3 linked regions of the Mus musculus genome follow. The protein of the gene in region 1 purifies or fractionates together with the protein of each later gene. This does not show direct contact. Links are inferred from orthologs where the notes say so. Each region holds a gene or a part of one and is shown on either strand. Other genes may lie near its edges.

Evidence for each region.
Region 2: the proteins of Rictor (region 1) and Flna purify together in Homo sapiens (affinity purification with mass spectrometry; 3 studies listed by BioGRID and IntAct, with this or other methods). This does not show direct contact. The link is inferred for Mus musculus from reciprocal best matches to the Homo sapiens genes RICTOR and FLNA.
Region 3: the proteins of Rictor (region 1) and Prr5l purify together in Homo sapiens (affinity purification with western blotting; 3 studies listed by BioGRID and IntAct, with this or other methods). This does not show direct contact. The link is inferred for Mus musculus from reciprocal best matches to the Homo sapiens genes RICTOR and PRR5L.

What each region holds. Positions count from the first base shown.
Region 1 is NC_000081.6:6,784,875-6,788,523, forward strand, and holds part of Rictor (rapamycin-insensitive companion of mTOR), read left to right. Parts: intron 1-1,501; coding exon 1,502-2,507; intron 2,508-2,775; coding exon of another isoform or gene 2,776-2,847; intron 2,848-3,649. UniProt on the Homo sapiens protein: Component of the mechanistic target of rapamycin complex 2 (mTORC2), which transduces signals from growth factors to pathways involved in proliferation, cytoskeletal organization, lipogenesis and anabolic output.
Region 2 is NC_000086.7:74,239,889-74,243,537, forward strand, and holds part of Flna (filamin-A), read right to left. Parts: intron 3,278-3,649; coding exon 3,029-3,277; intron 2,938-3,028; coding exon 2,840-2,937; intron 2,752-2,839; coding exon 2,604-2,751; intron 2,032-2,603; coding exon 1,913-2,031; intron 1,833-1,912; coding exon 1,755-1,832; intron 1,662-1,754; coding exon 1,499-1,661; intron 1,416-1,498; coding exon 1,215-1,415; intron 985-1,214; exon of another isoform or gene 928-984; intron 663-927; coding exon 525-662; intron 441-524; coding exon 317-440; intron 195-316; coding exon 58-194; intron 1-57. UniProt on the Homo sapiens protein: Promotes orthogonal branching of actin filaments and links actin filaments to membrane glycoproteins. Anchors various transmembrane proteins to the actin cytoskeleton and serves as a scaffold for a wide range of cytoplasmic signaling proteins.
Region 3 is NC_000068.7:101,731,562-101,735,210, forward strand, and holds part of Prr5l (proline-rich protein 5-like), read right to left. Parts: intron 3,185-3,649; coding exon 3,044-3,184; intron 1-3,043. UniProt on the Homo sapiens protein: Associates with the mTORC2 complex that regulates cellular processes including survival and organization of the cytoskeleton.

The DNA.
Region 1 (3,649 bases):
AGAGGCAGGTGAATCTCCATGTTTTACATGCCAGCCTGGTTTACAAAGCAAGTTCCAGGACAGCTAGGGCTGTTACACAGAGAAACCCTGTCTTAAAACAACACCAGTAGCAACAAATTAGATAACACAAACTAGTCCTGTTCGCACATGCCTCAGGATGCTCATGCTGGAAGATCACGAGGCCTTTCTAAGCTACAGGATAAGTCCAAGACCAACTTGGACAGCTAGATGAGGTTTGTGTTTGGTACAACACAAGTAAGGAAAGGAAGGAGAGAGGTTGGATCTGCAAGTACACCTTTTTAGCCCCAGCACTTAAACCTGAAGCTCAAAGATTGTCAACACTAGTTGGAGCTCATAGTGAACTTGAGGCCAGATGGACTGCAGTATAAAATCATATCTCAAAACATAAAGATAATCATACATTTTTTGAACCGTATTTCACCCCAAGTCTTTGATAACTTGAATTATAAGATGTACTAATGTTCGTATTCCAACAAGAAAAAGAAATACATCTTGCCCATTACACTTCTCCATACTCTTTGTTACATGATTTATTCCTGAGAAATTCCATATAAAAAGATGTATCTTAGAGTTGCAAAATTTGGAAAAACAGTGTAATGTGTGAGCTTATTTAGGATTTTACTTTCTTTCTTTTTTTTCCCCAAAGTATATTTAAAGTCCTTAATAATTACTCAACAGGACAGTTACAAATAAAATAAATCTTACAGGTACCATTAATGTAGGACAGACACCTACATTAACTGATCTCTTACGGGTAGACACTAAGAATAGCATATAAGGCAAAATGGACAGTGAACATAGTTGGTTTAAGTGTGACGCTTGCAAGTGTGCCTTTATTCTCTGTAAGTTTAGTTATCCTTGAATATCTGTGAGAGATCCCAGGCCCCCACCTCAGTACCAGAACTGATTCTGATACAAATCTCCTACATACTTTCTATCGTCTTTACATCCTCTATAATGCCCGATCTGAGTGCTCAATGTTAAGTTCTGGTCTTAATTGCTTAAGAAATAATAACAAGAAAGGCACATGAACATGTTTAATATAAGCACCTTTCTATGAATATTTTTGGTCTCTGGTTAGTTGAAGCCGTCTGTGACTAACTCGGATGTGGAGGGATGAAGTATATTTCAGGGTTAGGGAACTCATTTCTTCTAAGGTGAGTGTCTCCTGCCACTGTAATGTAAAGAAGCCATGCCGCTTCTGTCTAACAGAAAGAGCGTCCGTGCTCAAGGGCTCTTTTTCTCTATCTTGACTATTTGGAACAATCCCTAGGAATAGGAACCTCATATACTCTGCACTGGGATGAGCACTGCAGATTTCTTCGTAGATCCTCACCATGATACGATCTTTTTTCATTCACATCCTAACTCTGAGCTTCAGGGAAGCAGTTTTATTAACTAATCCCCGTCCCCGTGCCTGGTTAGACAGTGTGGTAGCCCTCAGCACTGTGGTGACTGACAGCCCATTGTTGACTTGCAGGCATGTTCATGCTGGAGGACGACCGCTTCGGCAGCACCTCCACCAGCACATTTTTCCTTGACATCAATGAAGATGCTGAGCCAGCATTTTATGACCGACCTGGACCCATAAAAGATAAAAATTCATTTCCCTTTTTTGGCTCCAGCAAACTTGTAAAGAATCGTATCTTAAATTCACTTACTTTGCCTACTAAAAAACACCGCAGTAGCAGTGATCCAAAAGGAGGAAAACTGTCATCTGAAAATAAGACAAGCAACCGGCGAATCAGAACACTTACGGAGCCCAGTGTTGACTTGAATCACAGCGAAGACTTCACAAGCTCCTCAGCACAGAAATCATTACAGCTAGAGCCTTCCTTCGTTGGGAATAAGCACCTTGAAGACGCGGGCAGCACTCCAAGTATTGGAGAGAATGACCTCAAATTCCCCAAGAGTTTTGGTACCGAGACTCACAGAGAAAACACAAGCCGAGAAAGGTTGGTTGTGGAAGGCTCAGCAAGCTCCCACATCAAGATCCGCAGCCAGAGCTTTAACACGGACACTACGACGAGTGGCATCAGCTCCATGAGCTCGAGCCCCTCCCGAGAGACAGTCGCTGTCGACCCCACAGCTATGGACACGGACTGTGGAAGTCTGAGTACCGTGGTAAGTACTAAAACTGTTAAGACGAGCCACTATTTGACACCACAGTCTAACCATCTGTCTCTCTCCAAATCGAACTCAGTGTCCCTGGTGCCACCAGGTTCTTCTCACACCCTTCCTAGAAGAGCCCAGTCCCTTAAAGCGCCCTCCATTGCAACAATAAAAAGTCTAGCAGATTGCAACTTCAGCTACACAAGCTCTAGAGATGCCTTTGGCTATGCTACATTGAAAAGGTTACAGCAGCAAAGAATGCACCCGTCCTTGTCTCACTCGGAAGCTTTGGCGTCGCCGGCAAAAGATGTGCTTTTTACCGACACCATCACCATGAAGGCCAACAGCTTTGAATCCAGACTGACGCCAAGCAGGTGAGCAGTATGCACTGAGAGATGAGTCAGCGTGTTCTAACAGATTGAAATGTAAGACACTAGTCAGCTTGAGCACCACAGAAACCAAGTCTCAGAACTGACCCACTTACCTCAGTAGGCTGAGAGCTCCTCGTTACCTGATAGCATTTGAAATGGATTCTTGCAGCTGCGAGGGGGGAAAATAAGGTCCATTAGGCCCTGAAAATAAACATGGTTTGCAAGGTTACACAGTCACAAGCTTTTCTTATTTATTTCTCGCTTCTGCAAGGATCGATTTTAAAAAGAAGCATGTCGGGGGAGTCAGGAGCTTAAGACCTACAGTAACAAACAGCCTTTTCAGGTAGGTCGAGGTAAAGCTCCAAACGGTGACCTCTTACTAGTTGTTAAAATAGCTGAAAACTTCAGGTCAATTATTTTGCATTAAGTACACATAATTAAAAAGGAACCTAATAAACACTAAATGAATTCCTGGGTCCTCAAGACTAAGCAAGAGTTTCTAATTATATATTAAATATTCCATATTTAGGGTATATCAAGCTATTAACAGTATAGTTTAAGTTTGTTTTTTACCATGATACACTTTGAAACTTGACAGTTATAAAAAGTTCCACACCTGTTTGTTGTTGGGAATTCTCGTAGTTGAATTATGTCCGTTTAAATGGTTTATATTTCTCTAAGCAGACTGCTAGGTGTCAGGTAGTAAAATGAGAGAGTGAGCCCTCATTTACAGGGTATGCTCACTGTCAGAATTGGGAGTTACTGCTGTAAAAGATCAGTCTCATTTCTGACTTTTAGGTAGCATTTTTAATAAAGAAGGTCCTGGCAGCAGATAGTGAATTGTGTCCCCTCTTAATAAAAATGTGCAGTAATGGTTGTTGTAACTGGGAGTCTCTGCCTCTGCCATCCTCGGGAGTGTGGAACACGGCCACGAGGCACGCATGGAGGGCTAGAGCTGCTGCGTTAGGCTGGCTGCGGCTCTGAGCTGGCCTACTGGACACTCGGCTAGATCCGTGGGTTAAACTTTTACAATGTTAACTTTCTAAGCAGGACATTTTTTTTCTTCCTGAAGGATAGCTATACAAATCCAATAAACAATGCAGTTCAAAATGGAGCTACAGCTGCTTGAAATAGAATTGGAAAGT
Region 2 (3,649 bases), on another chromosome or scaffold:
ATAGGCTGCCCTTGCCACCCTCTAGTCCAGGTACCCACTCTGAAGCCTCCAACTTACCCAAGGTGCCCACATCATCACCAATGGCCTCTACTACGAAGTCTGCTGACTTGCCAACAATGCCTCCTTCCAGGCCAGGACCCCATGCCCGAACTTTCTGATTGCCACACTCAGTGCCTACCTTCACCTCAAACGGACTGCAGGCAAGAGTACCACACAGGTAAACACCAAGAGCCACTGCCCTATGCCCAACAGCCACTGGCCCCTCACCAGATAGATGGTAGGGCTCAGAACATGATGAATAGTGGAGGGAGCTTACCTTCGACCAATGTTCTGGCCACCCCATGTGATGGTGACAGTGTATGTGCCAGGGATTGTAGGGTAATATTCAAAGCCATACACACCATCCCCTAAGTCCTTCTGCTTTACACGCTCCTCACCCTCTGCAAAAGCAAGGAAGAACTTAGGCCTGCTTGTCCAACCATGACCTGAGGTCTATCACCCACCACCCCACCAGATAAACTTACTGGGACCCTTTACAGTGACCTTTAGCTCCCCACTGCCAGCGCCCTTTGTGTACACCTTGAAGTCGGCTGTTTCCTTCACTCGAACACCCTTGGGCTGAAGGCCTCTACCAATAGCCCGGCAGGCAGCTGGGTTACAGGCTGTGGGCAAATAAGCCAGCTGAGTTGTGGGGAACTGGGGCTGGGTATCCCCTCCCTTGCTACCCAGAAAACCAGGCCATTAGGATTGGAAGGTTCCTCAGAGTTTAGGACCACAAGCTGGTGAAGCACATGCAAGAAAAAACTTAAATGGGTCTAGAACCTGTACCCAAAGCAAAGACATGACAGGCTTTTTCCCACCTGCTTGACACTAACCCCAATACCCCTACCCAGTCCTCCCCACCAAGAGAAAGGTAGATCCAAGTACCGTTGACCCTGCAGGTAGAGCAGAGAGCAGCAGGTTTCTAGACAGCTGGAGCGAGCTCTTCCGAAGGTAAAAGCATGGAGAAAAGAGACGAAGAGGGGCAAAGAGAGGAAGGAGAGCAAAAGGGCTCCAATATGGGAAAGGAAAGATAGTGCTTGCCCAAACAGTGGAAGCTCAGAAACTGGGGCTCCCAAACATGGGCTTCAGTGGGACAGTCCCAGTTGCCAACTCCCTCCCTAGAGCCCCAGGCCATAGTACCACAGTAGAAGAACACTCATGGGCAGGCCTACCTTGGCCAACAGTGACAGTGTAGGGGCTACGAGGGATGGGAACACCGGCGAAGGTGACATGTACTGTATGGACACCCTCCATGGTGGGCTGATAGCTACAGCGATAGGTGCTGTCACCCCTGGCCTCCAGCTGAGGTTCCACTGTGCCTTTCTGTCCTGTAGGGTCCTGGATGACAACTTCCACCTCACCCATGCCAGCTCCTGTCCCAAGGCACAGACTCAGCTCTAGGACCCCAGCACAGCTCTCCCCCATGGCTGGCTGGGCCTGGGCTGTCTCCCCTCACCTGCAGTGAAGATCTCAAAGTAGGTAGTCTTGTTGGCAATATTGCCACTGGGCTCCAGACCAGGGCCCTGGGCAGTCACTTTGCTGGCATCACCCTGTGACTTGTCCACATACACCTCAAAGGGGCTCTTGGCAATATGTTGGCCAGCAAAGAGCACAGTCACCTGTTCCCAGAAGGGGCAGGCTGTGAGAGTGAGGTAAGGGGCCCTTCACCAACTACCCATGGCCACCAGCTTCCTTCTCAGCCAAGGACTCACCTTATGAGTCCCTGTCACTTCAGGGACATACCAGACAGAGAAAGTACGGTTCTTGTCATTATTGGCAGTCACTTTTGCCTGTAATGGGAAGAGTGTTAAGAGCAACCCCTTTAAAAGGGGGCATAACAGAATCCTGCCCTGCTAATGGATAATCCTACCTCTTCCTGGTGTCCAGCTGGGTCCTCCACATATACAAGCACTTCTCCCTGTCCAGCACTTCGGGTCTCCACAGTGAATTCTGCTCTCTTCTTCACCATATTGCCTGTAGGCTCGATGCCTGTCAGAAGATGAGAAAGCCATGAACCAACTAGTAGGGCTACCCTCTCACCTCTATACCCTGGTTCCCAGACCCTAAAGGGTTATGGACACAGCATTAGAGACCCTATCCCTCTGCAGGCTCAGTGCCCCTCCCCCAGCTAGGTACAATCCAATCAGGTAGATTTGTTCAATGTAAACCCAGCATTGAGCCGGGCCTCAGATCCATGCTATATGGGCTATTGCCACCAAGACAGGCCCATGCCTGTTCTCTGAAAAATCTGGTTTGCTGTACTTTCCTAACCCCTTGCACCTGCACAATCCTGACTGCTTCATCTCCAATTATAGAATAGCAGTACACGAGGTCATCCTTCATACGTGAGGTTCTTCTCCTTCAATCAAGAAGCTTCCTACAAGCCAGTATGACTTAAGGAACTTACTAGTATTCCCTTGCCAAGGCACCATTTTTAACCAGGTTTTGATCCATTCATCTTCCTCAAGACCTCTTAGGACCCAAAATGAAAGAGAATACTGTCCCATGGACCGGATATAAGTGCTCAGCCCCTTGGAATGCCACTGACCAGGCCCCCTCACCTGGCCCATAGGCTCGGGCTTTCTTCGGGTTCAGTTTGGGCCGAAGAGGAGCCCCTGGCTTCAGCTTGGCCTTGGGAAACTGAGACAGGTAGGTCATAACAGAATGCTCATCTACATTGGGGTCCACAATTTCTTCTGGGGTAATCACCTGTTACAGACAGAAGACAAGAGCCATTGGGTCTCTCTTCACTTTAACCAAGCACCCCTTAGCTGCAGGGGTCAGTCCGGGAGCATACCTGAGGAATGCCTAGCCAGTCATCAGCCTGCTGCATGGCTTCCCGTGCATTGTTCACAGGCTTACTAGCATCCCAGGAGTCCCAGTCAGGACATAGGCCTACAACACAGAAAAGAACTTGTTGTGAGTCTGGGGCTATAGAGCTACCTTCTAGGTTGACCAGACAGTCTTAGCCCAAGATCTCCCTTACCTGGGGCACAGCTATCAACAAGAGCACCCAGGGCCCGGCCACTCTGCCAGTCTCGACTGAAGTTGGTAATGGGAAGCTGTGGTAGCTTGTTCTGAATCCAGCCTAGAAGCCTCTGCTTGGGTGTTTGCTTCTTGGCCTCCTCATCCTCTTCCTCATCCCACATGGGCATTGAGATGGAATAGTGCAGGATCAGGGTCCAGATGAGGCCTAAGATCAGCTTCAGATTTCCATCCACAATAGCCTTGCTGTCTGTGGGAAAAGGCGTGGCGGCATTGCAGTTAGGGTATTCCCTCATGAAGGCCAGCAAGGAGGGACCTAGGTCTGCAGCACAGCAAATCAATTAGGTGACAAGAGGCCCCTCCCAACTAGGGGTAGAAAGTGGATCAGGCACCCTCTGCCCAGGGCATCTAAATGGTGTAAGAAAATATTTTGTGATAAAGGAGAGTTTGGGGGGGAAAGACTCCCATAGACACATAATACAATCCAATAAAAGGGACCCTGCCAAAAACCGCAAAGCCCAGAAGGAGGGTGGAAGAGCAAGTGAGATGGATGCTGTACAGCTGCTGAGATCAAGACCTGCCCTAATATCTTGAGATCTATGGGAATTGGGAGAAGTGGCTC
Region 3 (3,649 bases), on another chromosome or scaffold:
GGCCAGCTCCTGCAGATTAGGGATCCATGGTTGAGATGTGGTTCCCAAGTAAATGGGCTTTTCCTTGGCCCTTTTCTGCTACACCAAATGAGGCACAGATGCCTGGGTGTTGGATGGTTTAAGGAAACAAGAAACCTGAAAAGAGGCTACAGATTATATGCAAATTTGACAAAATATAAGCAGGGTTTGCAGTCTGAGACTAAAAAGGGAAGGGAAGAGACAGATGTGGAGAGAGTGACTATATTGGGATGAGCTTGACTGTGGTGCTAGAAACAGGCTTGGCGATTCTCTACCCCCTCTGTCCCAGCTCCACCCTCCCTGAGCTCAGGTAGCAGAATGTTTAGTGTTGGAAAGGAGGGGGGGAGGGGGTGGGACAGGAAGGAAGGCTGAGAGGTGGAGAGAGTAAAAAAGACTAGGACTGGTTGACTGACCCAGCTCACACAGTTCAGTTTATACTCCTGAGTTAGTTAGCCAACTAACTCTCTGACCTTCCAGTACCCTGACGTGGGAAGAACAGGAAGATCCACAGTGGGGACTGTTTCATGGCCCAGTTTTCCAGAACCTCAACACAGCCATGGAACTTCTCAGGCTATATTCCTCACTTCTAAAGGAAGAAGCCATCATGGGACTCAGGCCAGGGATCTTGGGTTCTTCCTAACTGGTTCCATCACTTTCTGAGCCATGCTCAATGAGCACCTACTTTTATGACCAAGGGTGCTGAGGGCACAGCATAGGGAAGAAGTTTAAGAGTTGCTCTGGACAACAGTGTTTAGAGCAGAGAAAAAAATGAGCACCAAGACCCTAGCCCTGCAGGGACCAGGAAGGCCACAGCACAGGTCAGCATTAGAGAGTCAGGTTCTAATGTCTGATGGAGGGATGAAGGGGCTTTAGGCCCAGGGACACACTTGAGCAGATTCCCTAAGATCAGCTGCAAAGAACTGCATATACACACCGTGGTGGGGAAAGGGGACAGGCCAGAGTAGATAGACATTCTGGTACACCTTCAGAGACTTTAAGGGGGGTGATGTCATGTATTGTTGGGTTGTTCCACACAAACCCCAGAACCTCAAAAGGCTTTTGTTACAGAAACAGGTCTGCATGCTCCACTTTCAGATGGGGAGGGTCCTCAAAAGGCAGCCATGACCATACATGGAAAGAGATGTATGGTAGTTAAACTTGACTGTCACTATGGAAACACCCCTTGGGCAGCATATCTAGGTTAATAGGGGTGGGAAGACCCACCCACCTCACGCACAGAGCCATTGCCTGGGCTGTGGTCTCAGGCTGCATAGAAAGAGGAAGCCAGCTGAACACCAGCATTCATCTCTCTCTACTTGCTGATACAGATACAAGATACAGCGTGGCCAGCTGCCTCACCTTCCCGTTACTGTGCCTTCTCCGCAACGATGACTGTAAGCTTAAGTAAGCAGTTCCCCTTCTAAGTTGTGTTTGTCAGGTATTTTGACACAGCTGAAGGGGAAGTAAGTAATACTGGATGGCGTTATAAGTCAAAACAGAAACAGAAAGTGGAGTCCAGCCTCCTAACCTCAGTCCTAGAATCCTCAGGGGCTCCTTTTCCACGCTCCATATTTGGGAGCTAAGCCCTGAATTCAGCATTTCAGATGTAAGCTGCGGGCGCTTTGCCACGCCCATCCTCCTATCTACAAAAAGGCTAGCTCTAGAAAGATACCCACCCTTATCTCTAAGATGACCCTGCCTCCTTTCTTATTACAGGAAAGGGGAATACGCTGAGGATAGCCCCAAGAGAGTCAAAAGCACAGCAGTGGGGGGCGGGGGGGGGGGGAGATGGGGCTGGTGATATCTCATTAGTCAACAGGAGCCTGATGGAGGAACCTGAGACTGTACACCCATCCATGGGAAAGAGCTCCCTGGGGCATGTTGGTTCCATCTGACCACATTCAAGGTCATAGTTGATTGGGCAAACGGGAGATCCAAGCCCAACATGTGCCAACCAGATAGATCCCTCCCTACAGAAGGGATCAGGATGCTCACAGTTCTGCATCTGAGAATCTTACTACCTCCTACCAGCTGAGAAATTTCACTCAACTGCATAAGAGTCCTGTCCTGTTTTTGTTTCCTCATCTGGAGCATGGGAATAACAACAACGCTGACCTCATAAAAGGGCTTATTTGGACTGTTTAAGAAAAACAGAACATTTATAGTCCTTGTGCCTGCACCTGGCAAACAACCAGAGCCGGAGAAGTGTTAGCTCATCTTCCTGTTGCTGATTTAAGACTGGGATGAGAAGACAGGATGGAGCCATCTGGGTAGTGTCTCCCTGGAAACAAACACCATGGCATGTCACATCTAATCTGGTCCAAATAATTCCACAAACAGAGAAAAGACCAAGTCTAAGAGCATCCGGGCAAGGCCACAAGAGAAGGCATCAGAGAAAAATCAGGAAGAATGATCCAAACAGAGACCAAGAAGTGACCAGAGCTCGGAGACCTGACATGGTCTTGCTTTTTCATGAAGCCCATCTAGGAGTTCTAGTTCTCTCTTGACTCAATGACAGCAGATACTTTGTCATCGTTTTCAATCCTTGGCTCCTTGGCATAGTTTAAGGGCTGACAAGGATGTGTACCCTTCACTAGCCGGCACCACAATAAATGGTTACTTTTGTGCTCAAGACTCTGGGCTGGGCGCTGAAGGTACAAGCAGGAGAAGAAATTTAGTATCTGTCTTGACTATCCCAAACAACGGTGTTCAGGGCAGAGGGAATGTGGGTACCCAAATCTCACCCGAGGGATGGAGAAAGCCACAGCTCCCAGGAAATCAGGCTCCAGGTGTTTAGTTCTTTCCTGACTCCAAGACTAGCCCTAAGTAGAGCAATAGGGTCCTGACAGGTGCACAGCAAAGGTACAGGAACCGGTGAACCAAGAAACATGGACAAACAAGCAGAAGAATGCACGGCTCTGCCACAGGGCTCTGTGATTCCACCTCCTTCCCACCTCCATCACAGCAGGATCCTGGATCCTTCGGCTGATTGCTGCCACAAGGGACAGGGCCCCTTGGAGCTCACCTGCAGAATGAGCAGCATTTGTATAACAGAAGAAGGCAACTTGGACTGTGCCAACAGCAGCACGTCACCCAGCTTCACCTTCAGCAAGACCAGGTCCCGGAAGCCCAGCAGGGAGATCTGGCGGATGGTCAGCTCCTGTCCCTGGGGGAAGAAGACATGTGGAGGGGTAAGAGGTGAGTGCTTGCTGGATCCCCACCAGCCTCAAGGAGTCCAGGGCAAGTGTTCACAGTGCACTCGGGATGGACTAGAACAGGCATTGGCAAGGCCTGTGGGCTGTCTCAGAAGACCAGGCTCCAGTTTCCTCTGGCATTAAGACAAGGTGTGGCTCAACCTGCCTAATTAATCGAAGACAATAAAATACCCATGTAATAGGGACCATGGTGTCAGGAGATTACAGTGGGTGGAAATTAGTGAGAGAAAGGAAGGTGGGAAAAGAGAGAGAAAGATCACTGCTCTCTCCTCCCCAAGGCCACTTCCTCAATTTCATCTGTTAAACATTTAAGTGCTCATCCCATGTCAGGCAATCGACCTTACATGGTTACGGAAGATGTTAGATTCTCACATAGTCACAAGTAATTAATGAAGAAAAGTAGTGAGGAGCATGTG